Linked DNA regions of Pelodiscus sinensis. The protein of the gene in region 1 purifies or fractionates together with the protein of each later gene. This does not show direct contact. Links are inferred from orthologs where the notes say so. Each region holds a gene or a part of one and is shown in the gene's direction. Other genes may lie near its edges. The genes, in order: ARHGEF6 and PAK2.

Evidence for each region.
Region 2: the proteins of ARHGEF6 (region 1) and PAK2 purify together in Homo sapiens (affinity purification with mass spectrometry; 3 studies listed by BioGRID and IntAct, counting the BioPlex papers as one, with this or other methods). This does not show direct contact. The link is inferred for Pelodiscus sinensis from reciprocal best matches to the Homo sapiens genes ARHGEF6 and PAK2.

What each region holds. Positions count from the first base shown.
Region 1 is NC_134723.1:35,322,642-35,339,094, reverse strand, and holds the start of ARHGEF6 (rho guanine nucleotide exchange factor 6), read left to right. Parts: upstream 1-9,085; 5' UTR 9,086-9,186; coding exon 9,187-9,351; intron 9,352-10,504; coding exon 10,505-10,588; intron 10,589-16,453. UniProt on the Homo sapiens protein: Acts as a RAC1 guanine nucleotide exchange factor (GEF).
Region 2 is NC_134720.1:618,424-634,493, forward strand, and holds the start of PAK2 (serine/threonine-protein kinase PAK 2), read left to right. Parts: upstream 1-8,016; 5' UTR 8,017-8,172; intron 8,173-16,070. Other genes in the region: PIGX (GPI alpha-1,4-mannosyltransferase I, stabilizing subunit), read left to right, coding at 1,025-1,183. UniProt on the Homo sapiens protein: Serine/threonine protein kinase that plays a role in a variety of different signaling pathways including cytoskeleton regulation, cell motility, cell cycle progression, apoptosis or proliferation.

The sequences.
Region 1 (16,453 bases):
AGGGGTCGAGGGTCTTTTATAACATAACCTGATATCCGGTACCTTATTAGGGTCTGTTCCCTGGCTGGGCCTGATAGGCTGGTAATGAGGTAATGTGCAATATTGCCCTATAGGATTTTTCATGATGCCCGCCTGATGGCTCCGTGGACAGTGCTGGGTGGGGGCATGGTCAGTGTGCATGGCAGTTACGTCTTATGTCCCTATGCCTACCTCCCTATCTTCAAGGACTGGTCAAGAGAGTCTATTTATCTCTTGCAGCTGTGCTCTATCTTTTCTTGCTCACCTCCCTGTTCTTAGATGCCTACAAGGTTAAATTCCATTCACAGAAAGCTGCATTGTGCACTTACAAGTTATGCTTTCTCAGAGTGTGTCAGCGGCCTACATTTTCTGTGAGGGGCCTTTGTGTGGCAGAATGGGCAATGCTCACGCAAGGCCGTGGTCAAAAGGACCTGGTCTGTGACAAACCCCCTTATACTTTTTTTAAAGATAAGGTACAACTTAAGCCCTACCCTTTATTCCTCCCGAAAGTTCTCTCCCATTTTCATGTGTCTTAAGACATTTTCCTGCCTGTTCCACCCCAAGCCTCACCTTACCCCTCAGGATTGGTCCCTGCAATCCCTGGATGTGAGGTTCCTTAGCCTTTTACCTGGCGCTCACTAAGCTGTTTAGGAAGTCCAATCAATTGTTTGTGGCCATAGCAGATAGGATGAAAGGGCTCCGTCACCTCCCAGAGGATCTCCTTTGGGCTACGTCTAGACAAGACTAGGGGGGTTTTCCGGGATACTCCATCATGTCCAGGGAACATGTTTGCTCTTCCGCTTTTTGTGTGTGGAAGAGCAGACATGCTCTTTCAGAAGCCCTGTTTTCCTCCTCCCATGAGGAAGAAGGGCTCTTCTGAAAGAGGGTTTTTTTCTGAAATTTGGCCTAGTGTAGATGGGCAATTTGAATACCTTTTTCCGATAAAGCCTCATAGTGTTGACATAACCTTGAATTACGTCCTGTAGTCTCATGTGCTATGACCTGGCAAAGGTCCCAGCCCTTCAGTTGCCCACCCTTTCAGCTCAGGCCTCGCCAACCGCCTTTTTTGCTAATGTCCCTATCCAAGACATTTGTCGAGCAGCCACGTGGTCGTCTGTCCACACGTTCATATCCCACTGTGCTATCCAACATGAGGCTAGAGAAGATGCTGCATTTGGAAGGACAGTGTTGCAGACTGCAGACCAGTGATTTCCTACCTCTCTGCCAGATAGCAACTTGGGAATCACCTAAATTTGAATGCACATGAGCAATCACGCGATGAAAAAAAGATGATTACGTACCTTCTGTAACTGGTGTTCTTCGAGATGTGTTGCTCATGTCCATTCCAAAACCCTCCCACCTTCCATCTGTCAGAGTAGCTTCCGGCAAGAAGGAATTGAGGGAAGGGGCTATATACCTTGCCATTCTTGTGTCACTATAGGGGTCTCCCCTGCTGACCTATGGGTTCCTGCTAGGGAAATGCTTTCCGACAGCTTTGCACATGATGCGTACACACCTAACTTGGAATGGACATGAGCAATACATCTCAAAGAACACCAGTTATGGAAGGTATGTAACCATCTTTTGTATAAAAAGAAAACCTGGGAATTGGAAAACAGTATGAATAAACAATAGTTGTACTACACCCCCTTCAGTTCAGCTTGTCAGCGGACCAGCAAATCAGCCCTATAGAGTCTTGAAAGTACTTGAAAGTAGGAATAAGAAATCCTCCGGAAACGGGCTTATTTTCCGGAGAATTGCGTCTAGACTGGCGCTTTTCTCCGGCTTATCCCCGAGTCAGAAAAAAGCGGCAGCCATGTAAATGCAAATGCCGCGGGGGATATTTAAATCCCCCGCGGATTTGCAATTCCAAAGTGTCTCATTAGCATCCCTTTTCCGGAAAGGGATGCCAATGTGGACACAGCCATTATGTTCAGGAATTGTGCTTTCAATACACAGGATTCTTCCAAAGAATCCATATAATGAATTTAGGTGAGCAGCCTGAGGCAGCCTGGTGAGACTTCTTTTGCCTGAAAGGGCTGATCACAGCAATCATCGAATGATAAAGATGGCACACTAGTTTGTAAATTTGTGCTTTAATCTTTCAAGTTGCCTTTATATGTCATGAATGAAAGGGGTCCAATTTATTTTTTCTGCATAGATTACAACTTTATAAAAAAATCCTGGGTCTGATTTATTTTTAAAATATGCAGTTGCATGCAAATAAGAATGGCTGCTTATTTAGGATAATCATGGTAACTGGATGCAAATTGGGCATACAAAATAAGCTTGGGAGAAGCTGGGGGAAGTCTGGATCTCTGGGAATGCTATGTAAAATCTAGTTTAGGAATACTAAGTTTGGAGAAACAGTTACAGTTAGATCTGTTTCCCTTTGAACAACATGGTTAAGTCAAAGTGAACATCTTTTCACTTGCATTGATAGATATTACAAACCAAGGCAAGGTATATTTTCACTCAAGAATGATTTCTTGATAGGAAAAATGGGAAGCATCAGTTTATCTTAAGATCCAAATATAGGTCTTTAGAGGAAGAAAAAAATGTCTTCTCAACACCAAAGTTTAAAAACTGATACATTTGTTTGTACTCCTTTAAACCTAGGTACTATAAAATTGTCCATGAAGCTAAAATACAAAACCCTGGGTCATGTGTGTGGAAGGCCTTATAATGGGTCACAAATTTGGAGCGTATAACACAGGGTTGTTAGATTTAAAATACATTACATGCTTTCCTGCTTACTGTAGTGTTGTTGCCTTGCAGATTGCTTACTAAATAGGGCTACTATTAGCTAGTAAATCCAAGCAATCTTTAAAATAGTCCCTAGGGGGAGTCATTGACTAATATAACCCTCAAACTCTTAGCTGGTGTGTCTTTTAAAAATTATCTAGTGCTAGAAAAATTAAACTTGAAAATGCAAACCATACGTAAACTATTGCATTGCCTGCCAACGACTGCTTGCAGCCTGAAATGGCTCAAAGTTGTGAATTGCTCCACTCCATGTTGAGTTTGTGAATCCAAACCTCGTGAGTGTAAAAATTGATATTTAACAATTCATTGCTCATCTCTTTAGAAAAGACATCTAATTTAACGTGCTAATCCCGCAATCCCAAACTGCCATATCTTTGTGCCTAAAGCCTCTGGCTGCCAGCTCGGACCTAACCCCTGGTGGAGACAGCGCTATGTCCAGGAGAAAGCTTCTGTGGATATTGTTACTGCCTCTCAAGGTGGATGGTTAACTGTGCTGATATGATCTCTCCTGTTGGCATAGTAATGCTTTTATTAAGCATTATAGCAGTGCAGCTGCACACTGTGCTACTATAACGTTGTATATGACAGGTCCTTTGATGCAGGTTGTCATTGCAAAACCACTAACAGTAGCTTAGAATGGGTGCTCAGACTTCACTGTACCATGACTCCCTTTGGACAACAAATTACTACACGTCCATAGGAGCAAATGAAACCTAAGCCTGAGACCTACCTCCCTGGACTATTATTTTGGGTGGGTGTGCTAATGCTCAATGGCTTTACCTCAGGCAGGGGGACTGTAACCAGCTTCAGTCCCAGTGGTAGGGATTGGGCTTCAACTTTTGGTCTCAGGTCCTGGCAAGTCTAACAGCAGTCTTGGTGATCCCAGACCCCTAACACACAGTTTGAAAGCAACTGGTTTAGAATAAACCCAGAATGTACTAAGAACTTGGTACCTATTTTAAAAGCATATTTCATAACCAATTCAGTAAATAAAATCCCTCTAAATGACCTGAAGTTGCTGCAGAATTTAGACTTAGAAGGTGTACGAGATGCCTAATGGTCCAAAGTCCTAAGGCGGTAGATTGATATTGGATGCTTGTGCAAAATTGTCCACAGATTGGAAGAATTACATTTAAATAACCAAGTTTTGTTTCAAAATGAAGCTGGATCCAGAAAAGGGTTACGTGCTTTCAGCTTGCATTGAAGCCGTCAGTCTATGCAGATGTACAAACCAACATTTTCAAAAGGGAGTGATTGTTGAATGGAGGGTGCACAATTTGCAACATGTTATGGGGGCTTGATTTTTAGAAGTGATAAGGACCCTCTGTTTTAAAGTCGGGCATTGTTTTTATATCCAAATGGTGCGAGGCACATGTGAAAATCTTGGCTGCTGCCTGCTAGTTCTGGGACTGTTTTCATCAGAAGACTTTTGTGAAATAAATCAGGAAATGGAATAATATTTAAAAACTGCCAAGATCTCAACAGTCAATAAAATGGGGTTTTACTCCTGTGGAGGATCAGTTTTCAAAAGACAAGTCTGAGCTCATATTAATGAAGTTCCATTGCATAGTTACTGAAATATCTGCCCACTCATACCATGAAAAAAATCTTCAGGGAATGTGGGAACCTGCCCTCTAATACCTGGGAAAGTGCATTATGGATGTTTGAGAACTAGAGATGACTCCTGGACTTTAGTATTTTTGCTTGTCACTCAATGTTATCAGAAGACCAAGATGCAGCAGAGATGACATCTGCCACAAAATATCCTTAATAATAAGTAGGTGGTGGATTCTTGGCCTCTTTTATGTGCAACAAGCAGTCCACTTCTTTCCATGCACCTCTTTCCTATGGCAAAAAGCATCCTTGTTGGAGCTTGGCTTACTATGCAGAATCTGGTGTCCAATCTCCCTCACCCTCTCCAATTTAGACTTTCATATTAAGTCTACTCATTGACTTCCTTTCCTCCAAGGGATACTCTGCATAATAAATGGAAGTGTTGCAACTTTTTTTCCCCAATGAATAATGAGAAGCAAAGAGGCAGCCTTGCTTAGCCAACTTTCCCTCAACTGTTCCAAAGGCTTGGTGCAGACAGCCTCAGCCCTCTGCTGAAGACAGTGTGATCTGTCAGGAACAGTACTGTAGTTTGCCACTGCAAGAGATTAACCTTTTTCCCACTAGAGAATAGGGCTATCTTATTTTGAACAATAGCCAAGTAACCTGGAAAAAATATGACAGAGAAGGGAAGAATATGACTCCAATAGAACAGCTGCTAGGGCTATTGAACTGTCTTGTAAATCATCCACCCTTAGCCATGCATGCCATCATTTCAATGCCACTGTGGAGCCATTTAACTATTAGTGTTCCAATCTAATAGGCTACCCTATTTTCAGAGCTAAACAGGAAAGAAGGGACAAGTTCCACAAGCAGAAATGCTCATGCAATTGTGCATTTTTGCATGTGGACCTTAGTGGTTCAATAAGGGTACACTCTCCCTGAAAACGGCACCTGTAGCAGTAGACTTCCCACTGTCAATTAGCAATTAAACATTGTTTTCACATAGAGCCTATTCCTGCTGAGTATTTCTCCCCTCCTGAGCTGTCATTTGCTGCTTTGAAGGATAACCATTTATAACTCCGCGTAAGACCTATCTTGTCTTTTGTCCTTGATGAACCATATTCCCTCAGCCATTGAGAAGCATGAGCTTGTTACTAGATAGGATGTGTGTTCTGGCTCTGGTGTTGCAAGTTCTGAAAGGAACAGAAGAAAGGACAGCTGCCCTATTCTAAATCACATACTTCAATGTCTTACACTAAGGGTTTTTTCGAAAAAACGTGGCAGTTTTTCAAAAAAACTTCCCCTGAATCTAGACCATTGCCGCGTTCTTTTGAAAGTAAATCGGAAGAACACGGCAATTTTTTTCAACCGCGGAAAACCTCGTTTTACGAGGAAGAATGTCTTTTTTCAAAAGTGCTCTTTCGAAAAAATGCTTTATGTAATGCAAACTGCTTTTTTGAAAGAGAGCATCCAGACTGCCTGGGTGCTCTCTTTCAAAAAAGCGGCTTGCTTTTTTGAAAGTACTGGTTGTAGTCTAAACGCTCTTTTTCAAAAGAGGCTTGCAATCTAGACATAGCCTAATAGACTGGGCTTTCTTTTCTCCCAAATCTGCCTCATGGAAGTTCTTTATGCACACTGCAATTAGATTTGCTTTTAACTTTCCAAAATAGAGTGGAATACTCTGTTGCTTTCAGTATGGTAGGTCCTGAATTACAGCTTGTTGAGAAAATTTTTTTTAACTTTCATTCCAGTGGAGAAGCCACCACCACTGCAATACACTTTGTAAAAACTCAGGGCACCATGGCCAGGCCGAATGGCTACACCGTGAACTGGTAATGTCTGCCCAACATAAGAAAATGCAGAAACTGTCTGTGTGTCGGGATGTCAACGAGAAAGTATGTGTCCTTGAGATCGAGGGCAGCACATCAGTCCCCTGGATCCAGGGAAGCGATAATGGAGGCCAGGGATACCATGTGGAACTATAGTTTTTATATGAATGCATTTAAGTTCCTGAGGCCAAGGAAAGGAGAGTAAACCCCCTTTAGACCTGGGGATGAGGAAGTATCGTGAGTAAAACCTCCTGCCCCGAACTCCTGAGGAACCTCCTCTATCACACCTATTGTGAGGAGTGACTGGACCTCTTGCATCAGAAGGTGTTCATGAGAAGGGTCCCTGAAGAGGGACGGGGAGGGGGCATGGTGGGGAGGAAGGGAACAGAAGTGGATAGAGTATCCCACTCTGCCATGCTCAGGACGCTCCGGTCCGAGGTGCTCTGCGACCATGCCTGGTAAAAGTGGGACAAACTGTTCCCAAAGGGAGGGACAGGATCTGGAACTGAGTCTGGTGCTCTGTCCTCAAGTGCACCCTAAAAATTGGAACTTGGGCATGGAGGGCTGTTGAGAGGTGCCCAGGTGTTGGTTGGTGGAGGATTGAGGAGATCCCCTCCTGTTATTGCACTAACTGTTATGGTGGGAGGACTGGGGGAAAAACCGGGCAGGTTGCAGGGGCTTAAAGTGTCTGCGCTGCAGGGCAGGTGTACGGGTGAGACAGGAGCCATCAAAGAGAAGGAGCCTGGTGCCGAGGGGGCCAGAAAAAACATAGAAAGGGCAACGTATGACACTGTAAGTAGCATCACTGGCACCACCGCAGGAGCTGTCTGCTCATGGAGGAGCCAGGGCTGGTGCCACATGGGCGATGCTGTTGTTGTCGTCAGCGATGCTGTCAGCAGATGGTGGTGCTGCTCCACCATGATGGGCTCTGGAGAGTCGACCAACACTGGACTTGACAGCCCTGCCCTGGGTGCTGGAGACAATGGTGCTGGGGGGCCCGACTTGGGCAGGCTTGGTGCTGCATGGGTGGCCACGGGGGCCTTACTAGAAAGGAGAGCATCCTCAGTCTTTTTCTTCTTCTTAGGCACCGGTGAATGGGAGTGGTGCTATGCCAAGAAGCTCACCTTACATGTGGGGGATCGGTGACAATAGTCCCGGTGCTCCTACTGCCAAAGTGTCCCACTCCGAGGCTGGCACAATACAGATGGAGGGAGCTGAATCTGCATCATGGGGCTGAAGTGCCAGCTCCATTAGCAGGAACTTAAGCCTCTGATTTCTCGTGTGTTTGGTCTGGGGCTTGAAACCCCTGCAGTAGCTACACTTATCCTGAAGATGGCCTTCTCCAAGATGCTGCAAACAGTCAGTGTGTGGGTTACCTGTAAGCATATGCTTCCTGCACTTAACACATTGTTTAAACCCTTGGGACAGCTACATGCCCCACAGACTTGGCAGATAGTGGAGAGGGAAACGCCCGCAGAGATACTAACTGTATGAGGGCTTGTCTAAACTGCATTCCACTCTTGAAAGAGGAATGCAAATGAAGCAGATCGAAAATTCAAATGAAGCATGGATTTACAAATCTCGCGCTTCATTTGCATAATTGCATCCGATCGCTTTTTCAAAAAAGGGATTTAAAAAAAAACCCTCCGCAGTCTTGATGGGGTTCTTTTGAAAGAAAAAGAAAAAAAAAAAACTTTTTTGAAAGAACCGGTACACCTCATTTTTTCAGGAGTACGGATTCTTTCAAAAAAGGGGTTGGTTTTTTTTTGAAGGAGCCCCGTCTAGACTACGGGTTTTTTTTGTTTTTTTTTTTTAAAACCCTTTTTCGAAAAAGCACTCGGACACAATTATGCAAATGAAGCACAAGATTTGTAAATCCGCGCTTCATTTGAATTTTTGATCTTTTGAGAGAAGAATGCAGTCTAGACAGAGCCTGAGTGAGAACAACTCTATCGACACAATGAAGAACTCTTAACTATGCACTAGGGAAGAACCACTTGCTAAGCAAGAAGTCCAAAGCTCCAGCAACCGTCACTGGTGGAAAGAAGGAACTGAAGTGGGAGTCAGGTCAGCAGGGGTATATGTATGATGCTGTGAGGCATCACTACCAGGGGTGCTACAGCCAATCCAACAGGTACCACTAGGGAAAACTCTTCTGACAATCATCCATATTGGAATGCACATGAGCAAGCACTCAAAGAAGAAATGTGCTTTCTTCTACATTGTTTTGTAAAACTTTTCATGTTCCTATCAATATTTTGATCAGTGTTCATTTATAATTTTTCTGTCCTTGGGTTAACTTTTCAAAAGTGATTCTTAATGGGAGGCATGTATGTTTAGGGTGGGAAATAGAAGAAATTTCACCATGATGCTAAACTGCCTGAAAAATTCGTGTAAAAATATTTCAGATTTTGAACATGGAAAAATCCAATGTATTCTATAAATGCTTTATGTAAGATTTGTGAAAGAAATTCACACAGTGAAACAAAATTATTCCAGAATGTCTTCATGATTTTTTGCAATTAAATTTTCAAGCTCTTGTTGACTAGTCTTGCTTTTGCACAAATTTGCAAACACTTAACATATATGAATAAAGTTATGCATATATTGCTATCAACTTCAGTGAGACTACAGATGAGGGGAATTACTTATATGCTTAAGACTTTGTGGGATAGGATAAAGACCTTATGATAGGATAAAGTACTCAGATACTGATGGGTGTGATACAAATTTCTAAGCAGAGAGGATATCCTTTTTTATTTACGAGCAACAGTAAATATTTCACTGAGAGCACAATAAAGGATCTCAAGCCATTTATATAGCCACAAGCTTGTTTCTTCCTTTAGAATGAGCATAGCTTCTAGTTTTTATAAAAATCACAAGTGTCAGAGGTTTTCAGTACAGTTGTTTCAAACTTTAGCCCTGCAGTCACTAGAAGAGGCAGGAAGATGCAATCACGGATGTGGGTTAGAGCTAGTAGCTGCAGAAAACTTCTGCACTGAAGGCAGAACTCTCAACGATGAATTCAGAAGAGCGGATCGTGACATGGCTTATTTCATTAGGAGTTTTAAATTCGCCCAAAAAGATGATAGGTGATCCAGAGCAGTTCCTGAAAGCTTCTCTGAAAGATGGAGTAGTACTTTGCAAATTGATAAATCGGCTTCTTCCAGGATATGTGGAAAAGGTAACTTCTTAAGTACATTTTGGTAGTCAGTAGGGCAGAAACATCTTGTGACACTGCTGCATGTTTCTAATACTCTGAGAAACTGGAGTATAATATCTTAGGGAATCATGACATACTCTGTTTTAGAGGAGGGAAGAAAGGAAAGATGCCATCTGTGTTTGAGAGAGACTTTAGTATTTTATCTTGTTTCAAAGATACTGTATTGTTAGCTGGATCTAAGTAAAATATAAATTTGGATTGTAGCTTTTTTAATGTTTATAATCTCTTAGATTTTGTCAGCAACATGAAACAAAAAAAGTATTGCTTGCATATACAATTGGAATTAGCTGAATTATGTATGCATGGCTTAAATCCTGACATATAGTGTATGCATGCTCTTGAATTTTGAACAGGAATATTTACTCAACCAAAAGTCAAATCTCCAAGTTTTTAGATAATGTATCTATGACTTGACAATATAATGCTTAAGTTTTAAAAACTATTCATTAAAGGAATATACTAATATCTTGCTAATCAGGAAATATAATAAGATGGAGAAGGGACTCAAGTGGGAATAAAAGTAAACCGTCATCAGTGCTAGTTTAAATTTGATCTGGCCAATACATTTGCAATATCTTGAAGCTGCTAAACTAAATTAGTACATTGTGTTACAGTTTTATTTGGTATGTAGGCAGACAGTTCAAATCAGCAATAAGCAACTGCAAACATAAAAGCGGAAGGAGTCTGATGAGAGATAAGGAAATGGCAACACAGAAGAACTGTCAGTAAAATGACAGAAAAAACAGGTTCCTTCTCTTATAAAACAGGAATCTTTTTTTTAAAAAAATCAGTTGAGCTAGCTGCATCTCTCTCTCCATTTATGTATGTACTGGTGGTTTTGGGCAATGTACTGATAAAGGTCAAACTTCTCATTATCACTTAGGGCACTGTCATATGCTGACATTCAAAACAACATGCCGACCATTTAGATTTATGCATCACTTCCTCCAGCGGCTCTTCCTGGTTTGACAGCTTGCATGCCACCCCCATGCCTCCCCCTAAAAAGCTTCCCTAATTCAGAATAGATGCACATGTCAAATATCTATGCAAGCCTGCTGAACAAAGACTATCCTGATGGTAATACAGTAAGCATGTCTGGGTTTTGTTTCTTTAGTATTGTCTGGAGCCCAAAAATGAAGCAGATTGCATCAGTAACATTCAGGAGTTCTTAAAAGGCTGTGTGACGCTTAAAGTGGAGGTAAGTTATTCCACTTATCACTATTACACTTTTAAAAATTATTATTCTGCTAATCTGTTTCCCGTGTGAATGTTCCTAAATATTAATAAGTAGCAGGAGATTAAAGTGATCATTATATTTTCAGGTATCTAAAAGGATGTTTACAAGGAGGAGGGAGAAAAATTCTTCTCCTTGACCTCGGAGAATAGGACAAGAAGCAATCGGCTTAAATTGTAGCAAGGGAGATTTAGGCTGGACATTAGGAAAAACTTCCTAACCGTCAGGATGGTTGAACATGGGAATAAATTGCCTGGGGGGGTGGTTGTGGAATCTCTATCACTGGAGATATTTAAGAGCAGGTTAGACAGACATCTATCAGGGATGATCTAGACAGTGCTTGGTCCTGCTGTGAGGGCAGGGGACTGGACTCAATGAGATCCCTTCCAGTTCTATGATTCTATGATGATATCTTGATTTAGTAAAATACACAAGAGTAGAGATTACTCAATATTCACGACAGGGATTCAGGGAGATTTTGTAAATATACTAGAGTGACGCGGAGTTGAGCAGCTTTTGAGATGAAGCTAAATGTGGGAAGAGGAACATACACTAAAAATAACATTAATTCTAGAGAGAACTGAGTAGTTTGATAGTGCTGGAGATTTGTTGGTTCTAAAGAAAAGTTCATGCAATCTTTAACCCTGCTTTAATTGACTTTATATTGTAGTAATGTCAAGACTACATTTAGCCAAGGTCTTACTTCACAAAGTATTGTTGTGTTAATTGTGATAGAATAAATGGTTCCAGAGAATCAAAGGAATTAACATGACCATGTTGCAGTGGTGCATGTTATGTACAGTTAAATAAGACTTGAGGGTTTGTGTACAGAGACATTAGCCTACTTCATCCCATGGCAAACATAGTCAAAAATCCATGCCAAAAGAGATACACAAAGGGGAAAAAATCAGAAGATATTCTGGAATTCAAATGGAGTGGTTAACAGAATAAATTTAACCAGAACCTATTGAAATCCCTTTTTCACAAAGAGCATATGTTAGTTCTGTTTTGTCAGATAATCCTTCATAGTGGGGAAGAAAGGGTTGGAACCTTTCATAAACTTTCACATACTTTATAACAGCTAAGTTCACAACTGGGGTAAGACTAAAAGACCCCAATTAATACCACAGGATCCTAAAATGCTTTACAAATATTGGGCCTGATTCTGAAAAATATATTTGTAGAGATGTAGCCTTTACTCATACAAAAAAGTCAATGATGTCAAAGGAATTACTTACATAAATAACACCTGCTTAACATGAGTAGAGGTTGCAGAATGGGCCTTTTATATCGCCCCAATGAGTGCAAGCTGATTCCTATGCCCAAGCCTAGCTCAGTGCAAGTGGAACCCTATATAACAGGTATCGAGATCAAGGCCTAAATGACTGTGCTGATTCTTAAAAATAGAAGTTCAGCTAGTTTTGCTGTAAACTTTCAGATTGGTTATGTGGTGACCCTTAGAACATAAGAACGGCCGTACTGGGTCAGACCAAAGGTTCGTCTAGCTCAGTGTCCTGTCTGCCGACAGTGGCCAATGCCAGGTGCCCCAGAGGGAGTGAACTGAACAGGTAATGATCAAGCGATCTCTCTCCTGCCATCCATCTCCACTCTCTGACCCTTGAGTTGATTTAAAACTTCCTTTTAAAAAAAGCGTCTTAATTCACACTGTTACACTCTCATAGTAGCACATTGTAGTATTTGAAAATCTGGCATTAACTTTGGCATTAACATCTATGCTACAGAGGAAGATTGAGGCTAATGCTGGCAATCTTCTGGGGTTTGAATTAGCGGGTCTAGTTAAGACAGCTAATTCAAAGTGAGAGGGACACTCAGGTCGATGCCAGTAACCTTACTTTCATGAGGAGTAAGGGAAGTCGAAGGCAGAGTATAGTCAGCGCCAAAAAATGACTTAAGCTGCTTCGACTTCAGCTACGCAATTAACATAGTCTTAATTCAACTTTGTCCCATAGTGTAGAAATACCCTGAGAGGACTAATGATGGATCTGAGCAAAAAATACTGTTTTCGAGGGAAACTAGAGGGCTGCACCCCCTGCTCACTACGTCTGCCAATTTCCCGGTCACTGGCCATTTTCATTAGGCCTTATCCCGGAGCACCATGGTTCACAGCCTACCCCCCTCCTTCCATCCCTACCTCCACCTCCATCCCTACACCCCTGCATCCATTCCTATGCCTATCATCCTCCCTAACTCCCCCCCACCCCACACTGTTCATCCCCCTCCTGCCATCCCTACCCCCACCTCCATTCCTATGTCCACCCCTCCCCCTTCACTCCACACTGCCTATCCCTCCGCCCCCCTCCTTCCTATATTCCTACACCTCCATCCTTCCCTAACCTTCCCTCTCCATACCCCCACACTGCCCATCCCCCTGCCTCCATTCCTATATCCATCCCCCTCACCCCCAACATCCCCCCTTACTGCACCGCCCAGCCCCACTACACCCTTATCCCCCTTCCTCCCTCCTTACACACACCCTGCCCCCTCCCATGAAGTTGTTGAGCTGCTTGTCCCTCCCTCCCAGGAGCACCACCAGGCTGGGCAGCACAGCTCTGGCCACCACAGCAGGGGCCACAGCCTGCCCCCGGCCCAGCCTGTTGAGGCAGCTTTGCTCTGTGGCGAGCCCAGGGCACAGAGCGGCCACTCCAGAGAGCTGGGGAAGCGGCCGGGGTGCAGCGTAACCACACAGTCCCCAAAGGGCTGGGAGCGCCGGTAGCATGGTGAGAGGCTGTTTCGGGGGGGGGGGGGGGGGGGGGAAGCATGTTCTGGGGTTGGAGTTGGGGCGTGGCAATGGAGAATGATGTGATGATGTCACTCTGCCATTCCGCAGGAAATTTAGAGAGAGAGAGAGAGAGAGAGACGTACAGATGGTTGGGAGTTTAACAAAAAAAAATTTTGGGGGGGGGGTCAGAAAATGCTGATTTGCAGAAACGTGTCAGTTTAGACAAAACTATCACCTGGAATGATTCTCAGGTTCAGGATGGGATTTCTGGTCAAAATGAGGCAGAACAAGAGGCCCACATCAGAATATCCAAGGGTACTCCCCTGGGATGTGGAAAAACTACTAAAAATCCGGCAAAGTAGGGACTTGAAGCAGGGTTGGTTACATCTCAGATAAGTGCCCTGATCACTGGACCAATGCTATTCTACATATTAATTAAAGCTCATAGCATTAATAAAAAACAATTATTTCAACAAATGATAATTTCTTGGTTTTCACATAATTATCAGAAATACCAGAAGCAGTCATAGGCTACATTTACACTACGATGTTTGCCGGAAGAGGCAATGCAAATCCTTATGTCTCAAAAAAGGAGATATAACAATCTTGTGCAAAAGGAGGTTTTTTCACAAAAAGGAAACGTCCACACTGCTTGTTTTTGCACAAAAACCCCTTGCACAAAAACAGATCGGAAGAGATTATGCAAATGAAGTGCAAGAAAATGCTAATTCGTGCTTCCTTTGCATTGCCTCTTCTGGTAAACATTGTAGTGTAGACGTAGCCATAAGAACATAAGAATGGCCATATTGGGTCAGACCAAAGGTCCATCCAGCCCAGTATCCTGTCTGCCGACAGTGGCCAATGCCAGGTGCCCCAGAGGGAATGAACGGAACAGGTAATGATCAAACGATCTCTCTCCTGCCATCCATCTCCACTCTCTGACAAACAGAGGTTATAGACACCGTTCCTTACCCATCCTGGCTAATAGCCATTAATGGACTTAAACTCCATGAATTTATCTAGTTCTCTTTTAAACCCTGTTATACTGCTAGCCTTCACAACCTCCTCAGGCAAGGAGTTCCACAAGTTGACTGTGCGCTGTATGAAGAAGAACTTCCTTTTATTTGTTTTAAACCTGCTGCCCATTAATTTCATTTGGTGGACCCTAGTTCTTATATTATGAGAACAAATAAATAACTTTTCTTTATTCACTTTCTCCACACCACTCATGATATTATATATCTCTATCATATCCCCCCTTAGTCTCCTCTTTTCCAAGCTGAAAAGTCCCAGTTTCTTTAATCTCTCCTTGTATGGGACCCGTTCCAAACAACTAATCTTTTTAGTTGCCCTTCTCTGAACCTTTTCTAATGCCAGTATATCTTTTCTGAGATGAGGAGACCACATCTGTATGCAATATTCAAGATGTGGGCACATCATGGATTTATATAAGGGCAATAAGATATTCTCTGTCTTATTCTCTATCCCTTTTTTAATAATTCCTTACATCCTGTTTGCTTTTTTGACTGCCGCTGCTCACTGCAAGGATGTCTTCAGAGAACTATCCACGATGACTCCAAGATCCCTTTCCTGATTAGCTATAGCTAAATTAGTCCCCGTCATATTGTATGTATAGTTGCGGTTATTTTTTCCAATGTGCATTACTTTACATTTATCCGCATTAAATTTCATTTTGCATTTTGTTGACCAGTCACTTAGTTTGGTGAGATCTTTTTGAAGTTCTGCTTTGGTCTTAACTACCCTGATCAGTTTAGTATTGTCTGCAACTTTGCCACCTCACTGTTTACCCCTTTCTCCATATCATTTATGAATAAGTTGAATAGGATTGGTCCTAGGACTGACCCTTGGGGAACACCACTAGTTACCCCTCTCCATTCTGAAAATATACCATTTATTCCTACCCTTTGTTTCCTGTCTTTTAACCAGTTCTCAATCCATGAAAGTATCTTCCCTCTTATCCCATGACAACTTAATTTATGTAAGAGCCTTTATTGAGGGCCTTGTCAAAGGCTTTCTGGAAATCTAAGTACACTATATCTACTGGATCCCCCTTGTCCACATGTTTGTTGACCCCTTCAAAGAACTCTAATAGATTAGTAAAACATGATTTCCTTTTACAGAAACCATGTTGACTTTTGTCCAACAAATTATGTTCTTCTGCATGTCTGACAATTTTATTCTTTACTATTGTTTCAACTAATTTGCCCGGTAGTGACATTAGATTTACCAGTTTGTAATTGCCAGGATCGCCTCTAGAGCCCTTTTTAAAAATTGGCGTTACATTAGCTATCTTCCAGTCATTGGGTACAGAAGCTGATTTAAAGGATAGGTTACAAACCATAGTTAATAGTTCCACAATTTCACATTTGGGTTCTTTCAGAACTCTTGGGTGAATGCCATCTGATCCCAGTGATTTGTTACTATTAAGTTTATCAATTAATTCCAAAACCACCTCTAATGACAATTCAATCTGTGACAATTCCTCATATTTGTCACCTACAAAGGATGGGCCAGGTTTGGGAATCTCCCTAACATCCTTAGACGTGAAGACTGAAGCAAAGAATTCATTTAGTTTCTCTGCAATTACTTTATCGTCTTTAAGTGCTCCTTTTGTATCTCGATTGTCCAGGGGCCTCACTGGCTGTTTAGCAGGCTTCCTGCTTCTGATGTACTTAAAAAAACATTTTGTTATTACCTTTTGAGTTTTTGGCTAGCTGTTCTTCAAACCCCTTTTTGGCTTTTCTTATTACATTTTTATATTTAATTTGGCAATATTTATGCTTCTTTCTATTTTCCTCCCTAGGATTTGACTTCCACTTTTTAAAAGATGCCTTTTTATCTCTTTCTGCTTCTTTTACATGGTTGTTAAGCCTCAGTGGCTCTTTTTTAGTTCTTTTACTGTGTTTTTTAAATTTGGGGTATACATTTAAGTTGGGCCTCTATTATGGTGCCTTTGAAAAGTGTCCATGCAGCTTGCAGGGATTTTACTTTAGTCACTGTATCTTTTAATTTCTGTTTAACTAACCTCCTCATTTTTGCATAGTTCCACTTTCTGAAATTAAATACCA
Region 2 (16,070 bases), on another chromosome or scaffold:
TCTCACTGGGGGCAGCCATGCCACCAAGGGAGTGGCCAGCAGGGCTGGGCCTCCATCATCTTCCCTACCAGCACACCAAGTAAATAGCCCTCCTGCCCCAAACTCTTCCCCCTCCTGGCCCTTGGCTGAAGCTCTGGGAGGCGGGGAGGGGGGAGAAAAGGGCCTCTAGCAGCTTGGGGGAGTTGAGGGGGTAGAGGGTGGGGAGAAAAGGGCCCCTGATGGCCATGGGGGTTGGGGAAGAGAAAAGGCCCATGCTGAATGGAATCGCCTTCCTTACCCCCATATCCTCACTCTTGCACCCCCACCCACGTGTAGACGCGGGCCGTTATTCCGGGCTAGTCAATTTCCAAAATGGCGACCGCCCGGGAACATGCTAATGAAGCATGGGGCATTTAAATCCTGCGCTTCATTTGCAATTTCGGTTGCCATTATTAGCCTCCCTAGTTCGAACTAGGGGGCTATTGTAGACATACCTATAATGAATTATAAGGAGCATAAAAGGACTTGAGGCCTTTTTTTTTATTTTTTTTATTTTAAACTTTGCAGGCTACTATTATGCGAGAGAGATTTCTTTAGCTATTCGTTCCATAAGTTTCTTCCTCCAGTCTTACAGTGTGCACAAGTTGCACGATGTCCCTAATGTCAAAGCTAATATAAGAACAAAGCTGTAGAGAAAAATAAAGGCACAATTCAGTGCCTCAGATACTGTTAACCTGATAAATGCCCTAGCATTTCAATAAGTCAGCTGTCAAGATGGGCAGATAGAAATGGAAATGTCTCTCCCCCAGCTTTGACTTTTGAATCCAATGCTGCATGAAAGGATAAATCCTTTAAATGAATGGAGAAAGCCTGAGCAACTAGAGAGATTAAGGTTGTTGAGGGCTGTTCCCTAACATTAAATAGATGATTCTGTGATGCTTTCTTAATTCCTATGTCTAAAGGAGAAACAAAAGCTACTGAGAATGGAATAATAGCTCAAGTTTGTATTTTTACTCAGGTTTAACATCCAACTCTCTCTTCACAGGTAAATAAGGAAGTGATACTGCTAGTGCCAGTGGGGCTCAAACAGCATGGTGCCTTGGTATGTGCGGGGACTCTTCTTACCACAGTCCTGTGTTCCTGTTTAGTTCTTGCAGCTGTATGCAAACATGGACCCTCTTCCTTCGTGCACTGCTCAGAGTAAAACTGAACAAGACATTGTAGCTGGAGTCAGTCTGAAACAGTAATGAATACCATGCAAACTGAGTCTGTTCTGTATAGGGTTCTATGAATGGAATGCCATTTGTTTATCACCTTTACAACAGTAATGCCTAGAGGACCCATCTGAGATCATGACTCTCTTGTGCCAGGCACTGTATAAACACCTAATAAGAGACCATCCCTGCACTCAAGAAGGTGCATTCTAAATAGACAAAGCAGACAAAAGTTTCAGAGAATGTAACTGAAAAAACTTCAAAAATAATGAATAGTATTGCACCACCTTAGAGACTAGCAACAAATGTAGATGAACAAAGAATGGGAGGGAGAACTAAGATGTACAGATGAGGTGATCTGCCCAAAGTCATTTGGCAGAGCTGGGAATAGAACTCAGGTCTCCTGACTCCTAATCTTGTATTCCCTAAGTGCAAGACCACTGTGCCTCTCATTACATATTATTCTTCCAGGATTTTAAACTAGCTGACTTGACAGACTGATTATTATAATCAGAGAAACAGGTTCCCTGGTCTCTGTACCTTTGAGTTATAAACTGAAACATAATCCAACTCTATTGTATTTTAATTTGTTTTGTGAGCTACATATTTACCTGGAACAGGAAAGGATTTCCAAGCATTGTAAAGATATAATGGTCCCTGTTTTATTAACAGTGACCTGTAGGAGGCAGCCAGATTTATGTGATTTTTAAAGAGGCCCTAAGAATTTGGAAGAAACTTCTAGATGTTTACTGGGTAAATTAGAAGCAGGACTAGTAACTTTGATGTTTCAGAGGAAATAACAGAGCCTCATCCGAACAGGAATTATTTTGAGGAAATTTAAGGCATGTGTTACGCAGGAAGTCAGACCGAATGACCACAGTGATCCCTTCTGGCCTTGGTATCTATGAAATGATGCTAAGCTGGAATAGAGGACTTGGAAGACTGGAGGTAATCATCAGCGCTGTTAAGAAATACAAGGAAACAGAGAGGAAATTGCTTCATTAATGGAAAAACTGAGGTGCCTCAATGGTTCTTACATTTGTCATCCTAAATGTATCTTGTTTCTGTTGTTTGTCAGTAGGGGGCATTATGAGTTTAAGATAACTCATAGGGCAGATTTTTACTTTGTTTCTGTATACGTAGAGGATATTAAATATAGGTGGTTTTGTTATTAAACTACAGATGCAATAAAAAGCAGAGGTCTTGGCTTTCAAATTCTGTTCATATATCCATGTGTGGCCTGTAGTTGTGCAGCCTAATCCTTGCTCTGTCAGCAGGATTGGCCTTTCCTCTTCCTCCACAGCTATATCTTCTGGAATTCTTGGGCATCTTTCCTCATCTCCGTCTGACACTCAATAAAGAACTTGTCTTGTAACTTCGGCTGCAGGTTGGAAAGTGATCTAACACTGGTCTCGTTTCCCTTGACGAAGTGCCGAAAGAGGTGGCTCATCTATTGCCTCAGTTCATGAGTCCTCTGCATCCGTTTGGGGGAAGGAAAATGTTAAAAAACCTGAAATAGACTTTGTTACTTATTTAACCATGTCTGAGCAGCTGTGCCATGGTGTTATCAGCTGTGAGCTTCTATTGTTTAACATGTCCCTGGGGTTTTTTTGTTTTATTTTCCAAATATGAGTTTGTTTTTTGTGTTGTCTCCTGGCCAGACATGTGCTTTATACTGAAGGCTAACCCTTTATACTGTGGGCCCCCTTTCTGTGGAAGATGGTTTTCCTTTGATATTCCTCCCCTTGCTCAAGATTATATTAATTTTGAAGACAGTGTGATAAAGTTTAATATGAACTGTTTAAAGTGATTACCCTATCTGATATCATTGCCTAGTGAAAGAAAACTGTGAATTTCCATGGGACACACGAGGAAAATACTGCTAGTGGCGATACTTAATGAATGAGTTCCTGAGAAATTTGCATAGGTGACTGTAAGAATAGAAAACAAAATCTACAACGGTAAACTGGAGTAAGAGAAATAATCTGAATATTAATTGCACAGAGGCAAATATGCTGTTGATCTTAATGAAAGAGTTTGCGATAAAAATTACGTCTGATTGTGCCTACTAGTGAGGATAGTGTCAGAGCACGGATTAGTTTGTTTGTACCTGGTCATTGTAGTGCAAATATAGAACAGGGTAGGATAAATTGCTGAGTATTTTAATGATCTACATTAATGTTTAATTATTTCAAGTTAATTTGAAAGAAATAATCTGTTCTAATCAGTTGTAATGACATCTATTACTGAATTTCTGGTAGAGGTAGACATTTGATTACAGCAATTTGGGACTGGAAAGGTTAATCTTCAGAAGCTTTACCTGAGCTTTATGGCTGAGAGTATGCAGTCAGGGGGAAGATGATCAGAGGAATGGATACCCTATTTAATGAGAGGAGACTGGAAAGGCTTAGCAAAAAGAAGACTAAGAGCCTGGTTGTGATCTCTGAATGCAGCAAGGCGAAAGAAAACCAGGGAGAGTTAGTACAAGTATAGAACAATATTGGTACAAGATTAAAGGGGTATAAACTGGTCTTGAACAAATTCAAGCTGGGAATGAGATGCTTTCTAACCATCAGCAGTATGAGGATCTGGGACAGCCTTCCAATAGGAAGAGTGTTTGGGTGTGAGTGGGGGCAAACAACATACTTAGTTTTGAGATCGATCCTGACAGATTTGTTGGCATTGTATGATGGGGGTATAGAGGTGATTGGTTGTACCTGAATCAATTGGTATTACAGATCTTTTATCAAAAATGATGTTGGCAGCCAGTTATACAGTAAACTAAGTTTATTAACTAAGAAAAAAAGACTGAGTTACTGAGCTGTGAGAGCAGGTAAATATAACAGGTAAATCACAGTTTGTAATTCCAAATGGTGGCAATGATGTAATGAACTGCGTTTCCCAAAAGTCCTTCTGGATCTTTGTCTTCACATTCAGTTATTGTGCCCTGTTAGAATCCAAATAGTCCAGAGATAGATGTTCTTTCTTCGAATCCACGTTTATATCTTCTTTCAGAAGACAAGCTGACAGTCTCTCTTAACTATCGGCTTTTCTTTGATTACAGATAGTAAGGAATGGACTTAGAGTCCTTACTTTGAATATCACACACAAGGATCACTTACTTAGAAGCATTTTCTGTTAAAGTCCTTAAACACTTCATTAGCATTTCCTAAAGTTCTTTGATGGGTAATTTAATTCCAGGGCTATAAACAAATGTAAATGTTTGCTATATTATAACAAGAATAGATAAACAAGAACAATAAAAGTAAGGACCCATTAGTTTTCATGAAGTTTAAAGATCTGCGTATGCTCTCATACATTCAGCAATTAGGGATATTAAATTTCAATTAATTGGCTAATTGAATAGTCGATGCAGTTTGCATCAACGATTCAATTAGTTGATAAGGGCACCTCCACCTTTGAAGTGTGGCAACAGCCACAGGATGAGCACAGGACCAGTGGGCGACTCAAGCAGACTCCTGCTGGTCCCGTGCTCCCCGTGGTGTTTCAAAGCGGCAGTGCTGCATGGAGCCTAGGGTCAGCGGTCCTCAGCTGACCCCGGGCTCCATGCGTCACAGCTGCTTTGAAATGCCACATGCAGCCCAGGGCCAGCTGGGAGTTCCCAGCTGGCCCAGGCTGCATGCGGTGTTTCAAAGCAGCAGCTCTGTGTGGAGCCCGGGGTCTGGCTCTGGGCTCTACACAGCACTGTTGCTTTGAAGCAACCCTTGCTCTTCCCCCTCCTCTCCACTTGCTACCTCCTTCTGATAGAAGCAGCCAGGGTGGGGGAAGTGACTAGTTGACTAGCATGTCGACTATCTGATAAGCATTTGCTTAGTCATTCACGTCCTTAAAATTAGTTTGATCTATCTTAATAGTAAGTCAATTGGCCTGAATGCACTCTTACATCTAACACTTGCTTTTGATCTGTACTAACAAAGGTGAACCAGCCCTTGGCCCTGATCTGACCTGGTTTGCTAGTGTCAGAGGGATCCCCCCCCCCCAATAAGTATTCTGTGGTTTTTCTTTTTAAATCTTCTAAAGCATTAGAAAAACCACTGGTGGAGATGGGTCACAGGACAGAATGGGCCAGTGCTCTGAGGTGGTACCAAGTAATCTCTTTCCCAGATGCTTGTCTGATTGGTTCTTGCTCACATGTCCAGGTTCCAATTGATCATGCTATGTGGGATTCTGATGGACTTTCCCCCCAGGTCAGATTGCCAGTGGCCTTGGTGATTTTTTTTTAAACATGTGTGTTCCTCTACAGCATGGATGCACATTGTTTGCCAGGGTCATTTGTGTGTCTCCCTTCCCTTGGGCCTTGTGCACCTCATCTCTTCTTTTCTATTTTTATGGCATATAGTTTAGTCTCGTGTCGGCTGTCATACCCAGGCCTGACTTTGCTTATTGAGTTTAGTGGGCAGGAAATCGGACTAGATGAAAGAAAAGTAAACCCACTGGCAAAAAAATCTTTAGTGATACAAAAAACAAGGAAAGAAGAAATGAGCTCGCAAATTGGTGTGGAGTTTAAAGATAATCTAGGCATGGTCAAACACCTAAATGAATATTTTGCCTCATCTTACAAAAAGAATAATTAGAATCTTGGGGACAGCGCAGGATGGCCACTAGGAACAAAGATATGAAAGCTGAAATTACCACATCTGAGATGAAAGTTAAACTTATTTTTATGGGACAAAACCAGGACGCGGTATGGGGATAATCTCCATCCAAGAATATTAAAAAAACTGGCACATGAAATTGCAAACCTCAAAACAATGATTTTTAATACATCCATAAACTCAGGGGTCATAGCCTATGACTACTGAATTGCAAATACAGTACTTTTAAATATACAATTATCTGACCTAAACAGGACTGGAGGATGATTGGATAGTGAAAATGTTAGGTAATATGGAGTACCAATAAAAAACATGGGAATAAATATGTATTACTAATTCTAATGAAAAAATAAACATCAAACAAAAGCACAACTGCACTCCTGTGTGGTGTGGGCGCATGCACTGATTGTGATTGGCTATTGTACATGCTGCGTTCTTATTCGTCAATTTGTCACGTCGGCGGGTGGCACGTTGGATAAAATGGTATGTTGGATAAGCGAAGGTCAGAAAATCGAGACTGCCCTGTAAGAGGTTAAAAAAGTGATGAGAGAAATTACAGGCCCTTTTGGTTTGGTTTGTATGCAAAGTTGTAAAACAAATGTTGAAAGAGAAAGTAAGGACGTAAAGATAAATAGCAATTAGAATAAAATACATAATCATTTTACGAAAGATAGATTATAATAACGTAAGAATGGCCAGACTGGGTCAGACCAAAGGTCCATCCAGCCCAGTATCCTGTCTGCCAACAGTGGCCAATGCCAGGTGTCCCGGGGGAGTGAACCCAACAGGTAATGATCAAGCGCTCTCTCTCCTGCCATCCATCTCCACCCTCTGACAGAGGCTAGGGACACCATTCCTTACTCATGCTATGGACTTAACCTCCATTAATTTATCTAGTTCTCTTTTAAACCCTGTTATAGCCCTAGCCTTCACAACCTCCTCAGGCGAGGAGTTCCACAGATTGACTATGCACTGTGTGAAGAAGAACGTCCTTTTATTAGTTTTAAACCTGCTGCCCATTAGTTTCATTTGGTGGCCCCTAGTTCTTATATTATGAGAACAAGTAAATAACTTTTCCTTATTCACTTTCTCCCCACCACTCATGATTTTATAGACCTCTATCGTATATCTTCTTTGAGAAGATAATGGATTCTCTTCAAAGGAAGTGGAGAGGATCTATTCTGACTGTATTTCAATAAGGTATTATATAGTTATACAATGGAAATTATTAAATTGGAGAGGACAGGGATTAATATGAGAATGAAAAGCTTGGTGAGGAACTAGTTAAAGAGGACACTGTAACAGGTCATGCTGAACAGTGAACTGTAAGGGTGGTGGGAGGTTACTAGTGCATTTCTTCAATGACTGGTCTTGAGACCAATCTTAGTTTCCATTATCATTACCGACCTTGGCACAAAAAGTGAGAGTACACTAACGAGTTTTGCACATGACAAAGGAGGGCGGTATTTCCAATATGGAGGAGGACCGGCATATTGTGCAAGAAGTATTGGATGACTTCAAAAGCCGGTGGTAAGAGAGTGTTCCGCAACTGGGGGTGGGGGGTCTACTTCACATCCTCCATTACGTCCTATGTGGGGGCAGAGTTTTTCTGGGCAGTGTCTGAAGATGTCCAGGGAGGAGCAGCGGGTACTGTCAGCACTGTCCAGGGGCCTTTGCTAGGTGTCCCCCCTCTGGATCCCTGCTTCTGAATGTATCCTTGCTCCTACCCCTGACTCTTCATGTGCTGCTGGGCTGGGTCTAGACTGGCCAGTTTTTCCGCAAAATCATCTGCTTTTCTGGAAAAACTTGCCAGCTGTCTACACTGGCCGCTTGAATTTCCGCACCAGCACTGCCGGTCCCTGTAGGAGTGTCAGTGTCCTTGCGGAAATGCCGTGTTGCTCCGGGCAAAAGTCTTTTTCCGAAAAACGTCTGCGCCCGAGGGCCAAATGGCGATCCTGGAGGGCGGGGCTACCCAGCGCCGCCGGCCTGCTCCCGCTGGGCCCTGTCTCCCATGGCAACCGGGAGGCAGCCCCTCCCTCCGCTCCGGGTGAGGAGGCGGGAACGGAGCCGGGGGCGGGGCCCCCCAGGGGTGAGGGGCCCAGGACTCCGCTTCCCAGCGGGCCCCGCGCGCGCCGGCACCTCCCCCTTTGCCCCGCCCCGCGCCCGCTGCATCACGGGAGCGGTAGTCTCCGCGCGAACATGCGCGGAGGGCGGCCCCGCCCCCTCCCCTCCTCCTCCCGGGCTGTGGCCACGCGCGGCGGTTCCGCTTCCCCCTCCGGCTGCCGCCGCCTCGGTGGGTCCCGCTGCCGCCATCGCAGGAGGCGCCGCGCGAGCCAGGGGCCGCGGCCGGGGTCCCCCCGCCGGTGAGTCCCGCGCTGAGGCGGCCGCCGATCGCTCCTCCCGCGCCGGGCGGCCCCCACCTGCCGGCGGGTCCCAGGCCGCGGCGCCTCCGCCCGCCCCGGGGCGCGGGGCCAGGTGCGGGCAGCCCCCCCCCCCCCCGGCTGCTCCGGGAGCCGCAGGCAGCGCGCGGGCGGGCGGGCGGCTCTTCCCTGGGGGGCGGGGGGGCTGCGCCCGGGCCGCGCGGAGGAAGGCGCACCTGCCCCGCGCGCCGCACTGCTGTCCGCGGGCAGGGCAAGCGGGCTCGGTGTGTGTCCTGCTCCTGTGCTCTCGGGCTCTCAGCCGCAGGGTGAGCGCCACGGGCTGGTGTGTCGCTGCATCGGGGCCTCCCTGGCGCCCTGACCTCTTGGGGTAATTGCACACAAAGAATTAATGGAGTTGTCAAGTTTTGCCCAAACTGACATTTTGTAACAGAAATATTGTTGGTGAATCTGTGGGTTTACTGGATTTCTTTTTCTCTACCATTCCCTGGTAGTGTAAGCAACCCAAATATCGCAGCATTCCATTAGTGTGTGTGTGTGTTGGAAAATTCCTTTGTGGATCAGTACCCCTTTGTGGTTCGTTTATGCTTTGTCTCAGTGTAGTTGTCACTGTCTGGTTTTGTTTGTTTGTTTGTTGAAGTCGCTTTCCTGTTTTCTGACATCTTTATTTTTCTACTTTTGTTCATTATGTGTTTTTTCTATCTGCTCCCCCAGCCCTCCTCACAAGAGACTCTGAAGTGTTTAAGGCCAGAAGGGACTATTAGATCATCTAGTCCGACCTCTTGCTCATTTCAGGCCATTACATTTCACCCAAATACCCCACTTGTGAGACCAGTTACTTTTGGTAAATAAAGCATTTAGTCCTTAGGGGACTAAACCATTGTGTTGCAGGCACAACACAGGAGAGATGGGTGCTGTGTAAGTTCTTGCAGTGGCAGGAAACTGACTAGGTGTGAGAAGTGCCTACATGATCCCAACAGGCCATGTGTATCCCATAATGAGGAAGAGGAAAATATCTTAGAGTCCCTGCAGATCTGATCTTGGGGGACCTCCTTACCTATATCTGATCGATTAGACCCTGAGCATGTGAGCAAGATATGCCAGCCACATGTCTAAGATGGAATTTGGATGTACATGTGAGAGGGGGTGTGTGTCTAACTGGGTCTCTAACTTATACCATTGACAGAACTACTTTTAGTCCAGTACTTACCCTCTCCTGTCCTTTTTTATGTTTTCACTCTTCCCAAATTCTTTTTTTGGTTGGAATTTCAGTGCTCAAGTATTGTCTGAGAGTTGGACTGAGCTTCCAGAGCCAGTATGTTCTTCTTTCAGATTAACAGATCGTTAATTGATGCCTCTGCTGTGGCCACAGTGAAGATAAATCATGGTTTTTGGAATAAGTATCCTAACTGTTACAGCAGCAGTGTTTTAAAGGGCTTATTTTAAAAAACCAAACCAAACCCAAATGGCATATTTGGATGTACCATTCAACCACACCAATGTCAAAGGGTTTTGCCAAGTAGTGGTGTGAATGAAAATGCTAATGCTGGAGTCTTGGGCTAGGACCTAAGCATCACTTTGTATACTGACATGTCTGATCAAAATGCACAGGTGGGGAGAAAAGGAGGAGGGTAGCAGAGGCATGGAAGTGGAAACAATTGAGTGAGATTATGGAGGTGTCAGGCTATTAAAAATTATTTGCCTTAGATCCCCTCTGTCCACTTAATAGCGCTGACATATGTGGTGGGCTGGGAAGTCCTATTTAAGTAATTTATAGTTAAGGATTTAAAGCACTGGTGGGCAGTATGCAAGGCGGCAGGTGGTCCTTCTGGGGTCTGTGTGTGGCCTGTGAGAGATTCTGTTTACCATTGCCCAGGCATGTCCATGTAGTTTTTTCCTACCAGTACTGCTAAAGTGATACGCACCTAAAGTAAGTGCATATGAGCTGAAATTGCACACAGCATTGATTGCGAGAGCCATGTGCTCTCTCTACATCCAATCAAAGTACTGTTACTGTCCAGTGGGCACTCCCAGCAAATTCTAAGGTAGGCAAGTGTAGTTAGCAAAACTACCCCATCCCAGGAGACTGTCTTGGATATGGCAATCATGTGGCCCACTCACTAGCCTAGGTTGCCCATCGCTGATTGAAAATAATCTAAAGCAGTTTTACCAGTGCCATTTTGTAAAACGACATATATGTTTTAAGCAGTAGTGGTTGAACAGGAAGATGATTTATAGTTTGTAGGATTGAAACTAACTTCGTCCAGTCAGATGATCGCTCTCCTTCCAAGCTATATTATAACTCCTCAAGGTATAAAATCAAAGAGCTACAAGTATTTGTGACTTGTACAAGGCAATATAAATGTAACTTTAATTAAGAATATTGTAGGCAGTTCAAGCAGGCTAAATCCAAATCCTCATAGAGACAATTGTAAAGCTTTCCATTGAAGAGATCGTTCCAAAACCTTAACTACAGTGATCGGTTTCACTGCTTTTTTTTTCTTTATGAAAACAGACACTAGTTGGAGCAGTAAGAAGGTTAAAAGAATACAAGCTTTCAGTATATTCCTTTGAATCTCTCGAGTTAACTAGGTAGTGGTTTCTTGAAAATATTGTAAGTGACTCACAAATAAAAGTCTGCAATTGTCCAGTGGTGTCTGGAAGATATTACCATTCCATAAATAAGAATTATGCATAAATTACAATTGAATGTCACTAGAGCATGCGTTAGTCGGACTAAGGATTCTTAAGATGCTTTTCTGTCTAGGGTTGGTGTTTTTTGTATCATTGTAGTGTACGATGAAAAGAAACTGTTTAATATTAGCATTATGCATTTTCATGAAAGTATGATGTGTTAAATATATTGGCATTAAAATGTTCAAATAGTGAACTGGCAACTTTTAGGACTTGGATCATGTTGTAAGTAGGATGAGCTAACTTTGTTCAATGGAAAGCCTTGAAGAAGTACAAGATTGAAATCTTCAAGCAAGATTTCATAGAAAGTCAATTATGGTAACTTAATTTGGTCTGCATTTTATGGTCTGCATTCAAGTTCGCTAGTCTAGAGTGTAGACTGGTACTGAGAATTCGGAGATGTTAGTTCTATCTCCAGCTGTGCATCCTTAGACAGACACTTCCTTTCTGTTTTCCCAACTGCAGTATGAGGGATCAGACCTTCAAAATTTCATACATGCTAGCCAGAGTTAGCTGTGAAGGTCAGTGATGCCCTCAGCAAAATCCAGCTATCATTCCCAGCTATTTGAAAGGGAGAAGTTGTTGTGTCTTTTTCCTGGAGTCTAATTGGGATGTCATATTTTGTATCCGCTTCTTGCAAGTAGTTATCAGATAAATGTGAAGCTCCTCCCACTCTCACTGTTGAGGAAGATGCTTCCTGTCTCTTCACCACCTCCAGAGCATCCTGGCTGTTGCATGTGGGTTTCTGCATCTATACCCTTCAATGCAGAGGCTCTGTGGGTGCAGGGGGAGGTGTAAGGTTTTCACCAATCCTTCCCCGTCAACATTCTGCTTGGTTCCTCTTCCACTATGACAAGCTGCAATGCTTGCGTTCTTAAACAGTAATAGATATGCTTAACAGTTCTACAGCTGCCCTCTGGCTTCTTAACTGCAGTAAATCTCATCAGTGTTGTAAATTTCACTCTACTGCTCCTTGGATATGCCATTGACCGTAGCAGTACTGGAGCTGGCTGGCTGCAGACTCAGGAAAACAATACATGTGAAGGAAGGGCAGAAGCTGGTTCCTCTGTGTGCGGGGGGGAGGGGTGAGAGTGGGAGCCTGCCCTTCTGCATGTGGGATGGAGGGGCAGGAGCAGGTCTCTTGCCAGCAGCCCCCAGTGGGAGTGGGTGCTTGGGGCTGCTGGCCCCCTTGTGAGGGATCCCACTTCATTGTTTAACCTGTTAAACTTAAAGTTAACTGATTAACTGGGTTTTACATCCCTAGTTTTAACTAACTTGTCTTGTTTGGAGAGAAACTTTGTGTAATTTTCAAACAAAATCCTCACTAGGTGCTTTACAGAACAACTAGAAAGACAGGTCTTTCCCCAAAAATGTAACTCACATCTGTGATGGCACAATAGGTTGAGGATAGCAAATAGAGAAGAAAAATAACATAGGTAACAGCTGAACACTTAGTTTAATCAGGAGCCTATCTAGCTGCTCAATTTTTAAAGAATGCCTGACTTACTCTTTGTGACCAACGTTGGACTCATGCATTTACTATGAATTTTGAGTGAAGGAGACGATAGTAGTTTGGCAATCCTCGGTTATTTTTCCTTGTCATAAACTTTCAGTGCTGTTTAGGGCTTGCTGGTCCTAGAATGGTAGTGCAGGCACTCCCCGAGTTACAAACATCCGAGGTACGAACATCTGCACATACAATCAAAAGCTCACCTGCAGCCTCTCGAGTAGCCAAGAGGCAAAGGTGGTGGCAAACAGAGGACGTGTTGGCCAGATGACGCTGGAGGAGCAGAGGGCGGTCATGCAGCCAGTGGCGAGAAGTAGTGCTTTGAAAAGGAAACCAGTGCTGCTCTCTTGCCTGCAGCTGTAAGGCTGCATCCTGCTCCTCTGGAGTCCTCCAGCCCCTGCTCACTGTGGGTAGCCTGTGGGGAGAGGGGGATGGCTGGAGGATGAGGCTGGCCGCAGGAGCCAGCTCAGAACCCGCAGGGGTGTGGGTAGCAGGGACATGCCCAGAAGTCCCCTTCAGAATCTCCATCTACCTTCTCATTCTCCCCTCATTAAATCTGCCTTTCCTCAAGGACCAGCATTTGAAGTTAAATAAAAACAATTTCTGCTGTTTTTCATCACAGATATATAGCATGTTATGGGTTAAATAGGCTTTTGTGGGCTAGCCTGGGATCATAGCTGCCATTAATAACATTGTTTCTGTGCTAAAATGCATTCTGAGTTGCTAAATGACTTACACATTTTTGGAACACAACTTGCTTGTAAGTTGGGGATTTCCTGTATAGGTAAAAGGCTTGAATGGGAGATGGACCTCCATCCCAGAAGATTTTTGATAGCTTCTGATTGACTGAGATACAAACACTTCCAACTCAGATTGGCCCAGGGTTACTTCTTCGCTTGTTATTGCATTATTTGTTCTGGGAAATTAGCTGTTACCTCTTGCCATTAAATAGCTGCTATATTTGAATCTTGCAACACAGTAGTTCCATCTCTGAGCTAATGGAGGTGGTAGTTATCTTTCCCTGCATTTACTGGTGTGTCCAACCTTCTTCTTCTGTAACTTTTTAACGTCTTAATTTAATACCGGTCCTGGGGTTGGGAATCATCTGGTGTATTGGTACCAGTCTACACTGGGCATTTAGTGGAGCTTAGCTGCTTTTAGTTGATTTTCTAAACAGTGAGTCCACGTGACCAAGCTTTTCATTAGTGATGCTAAATTCAACCTTGCATGGTTGGCTCTAAGGTAGTGCAGATGCAGTGATAGTAAGTCGATATTCTTGGCCTCCAGGAGGTGTCCCACAGTGCCCTGCTGTGACAGGTCTGGCCAGGACTTTCAACTCTGCTGCTGTCCAGGTGCCCAGGAAAAGCCCTGGAAATAGTTGAATTTCATGTCCTGTGTGGCCAGCAAGACGAGCAGACCTCAGAGTCAGCAGCAAACTTGACCACGAATGCCTAGGGTCACAAATGAGCACCAGCATAGAGCATGCAGGAGATCTCTGACCTCACTGCTGTGTGAGAAGAGGAAACTGTTTTCGCAGAGCTACGAACCGGCAAGAGAAATGCAGATATCTATGCCAAGATGGCAAAGGGCACAGAGGAGAAAGGATAAGCCAGGGATGCCCAGCAGTGAGATATGACAATAAAGGAGGTGAAGCAGTTAAATCAGAAGACAAAGGAGACAAATGGACAATATGGATCATCGCTGCAAACGTGCCGCTTTTATGAGCAAGTGCATGTGATCTTCAGGGGAACCTGACCAGCTTCCCTAGCCAGTCTGCAGATTCCTCCTAAGAGATACTTCTGGTAGCCTGGAGAGCAGCAGAGGTGAGGGGGAGAATGGTCAGCAGGCGAGCGGGGCAGCTGAGCTCACGGATAGCCAGGACCTTTTTATAACTTCGGAGACCATTCCCCACATCCAACGGCATCTCACAGCCAGTCCCTGATGACAGGGAGGGTGCTTCTGCTGAGTTCATATTTTTATCTGCCTACAAGTGGGTTAAAGCAGTTGGGTATGATTTATTGCAGCCACTGTGCCTACGCAGCGGGGGCTGCCTGGAATAGCTTGTTGACATGTCGGGAGAAGGAGCAGGAATCCTCTCCTGCACATCTCCATAAAACTCGCGTAGAGGAACTCTTTAATCCTTCTCACAAGATTGCTGGGGAGGCCTGCCTCATTCCCTCCTTCACAGTATGGACTAGGGTATTGGGCTTTTCCATGCCTAGCCCAGCAGTAAGTGGTCTTGCGTCATTGCAGCATACGCTCTGTTGTCAGGATCAGCTCCCATCACTCTGTGATTCAGAGAAGACTGATATCGTGCATGGCAACCTGGATGAAGGAGGAGAAGTTATTAACGGATGCCTCTTCAGTAAACCTCCATTTGCCCATACCCAGTGAAGCATGGCTTGAGCCCCTGTCCTGGTGCAATGCCCAGATTCCTCACTCCTTCCCACCCATCCACATGTTCCTGCAGGAAGGGAAAGTTGTGCTTTCCTGGTAAATGGGGTGCCAAACATCTGGTTGCCGCATGAGCCCTGCCGCCAAGGCCAGAGCACCTTCCCCTGGCAGGCTCTAGTCTGAGCCTGTTCCTTGCCGTGCCTGCCACCAAATGGAGTCCAGCTGCTCCCCTAAGATTCCTGGAGTGTACCTGCTGCATAGGTACTGTGGCTTTGTACAGAACACATCTCTATTGTCTTCTGTGCTAAGAGATTAGGCTTTATGCTTGACAGCGGACCTCCTGTAAAGTCTGCCCTTCGCTTTTCATTACAGCGGGTGCAGCAGCGAGTGCACGTTCCCCCTTCACCAACTGTTCAACTAGCACGTGTCCAAAGGGGAAAATGTACTAGGGCTGAGATGTTCAAGGAACAAATGCAATCTGCCCACGTGGACAGAGAGCGATAAGCCAGTGGAGGAAAATGCTGCTGAAGGAGATGCGCTTGAAACATGGGGACACAATACTTCGCTGTTCCTGGAAGGGTTCCATGCTTACCCTGCCATGCCATCTGCACAGATAGCCGGGAAAAAGCACATGAAAATACTGTTTGTTGTTGCTTTCAAATGGAAGGTCAGGGAGGAGAAAAGTGCATTCTGAGAAGCTGAAGATATGTATCCAGAACCACCCACTGCACAGTTTTGGTCCCATCAGGCTCTGGGAGCATAACCCAGAATGCAAAGGGGTGGCAGGAACTGATAGAGAGCTATCCATGGTACATCTCAAGTTGACAGCCACCTGACAGAGGACACGCTACGTTGAATTCTTGCACAAAGTTACAAAATCAGATGCCAGAACATCATCCTTATCTCTTAGTATAGACAAGGCCTTAGAGTGTAGAATAATAGTTTTAATGCAAATCTGAATTATTAATGATGGCAGTTGACCTAAAAATAATCTTTAGTTTTATGAAAGCCACTGTGATTGACTGGATAGTACTCAGGAATCCTGGCACTACCACAGGTCGGTGTATGACACTGGGCATCTCCCTGTCTCTGTTTCCCTTATCACTGCAGTCTTGTCTCTGTGATTATAAGCTTTTGGGGCCTGAAGGTTACTATATGTTTGTACTGTGCCTAGCACAATGAACCCTGGTCTTGGTTGTCATTCTGTGTTATGTTGTCATTTGTATTAGGGTAATTCTGCCATTGGTGACAAAATTAAATAGAAGACCAGAGGTTAAACACTCTCTCA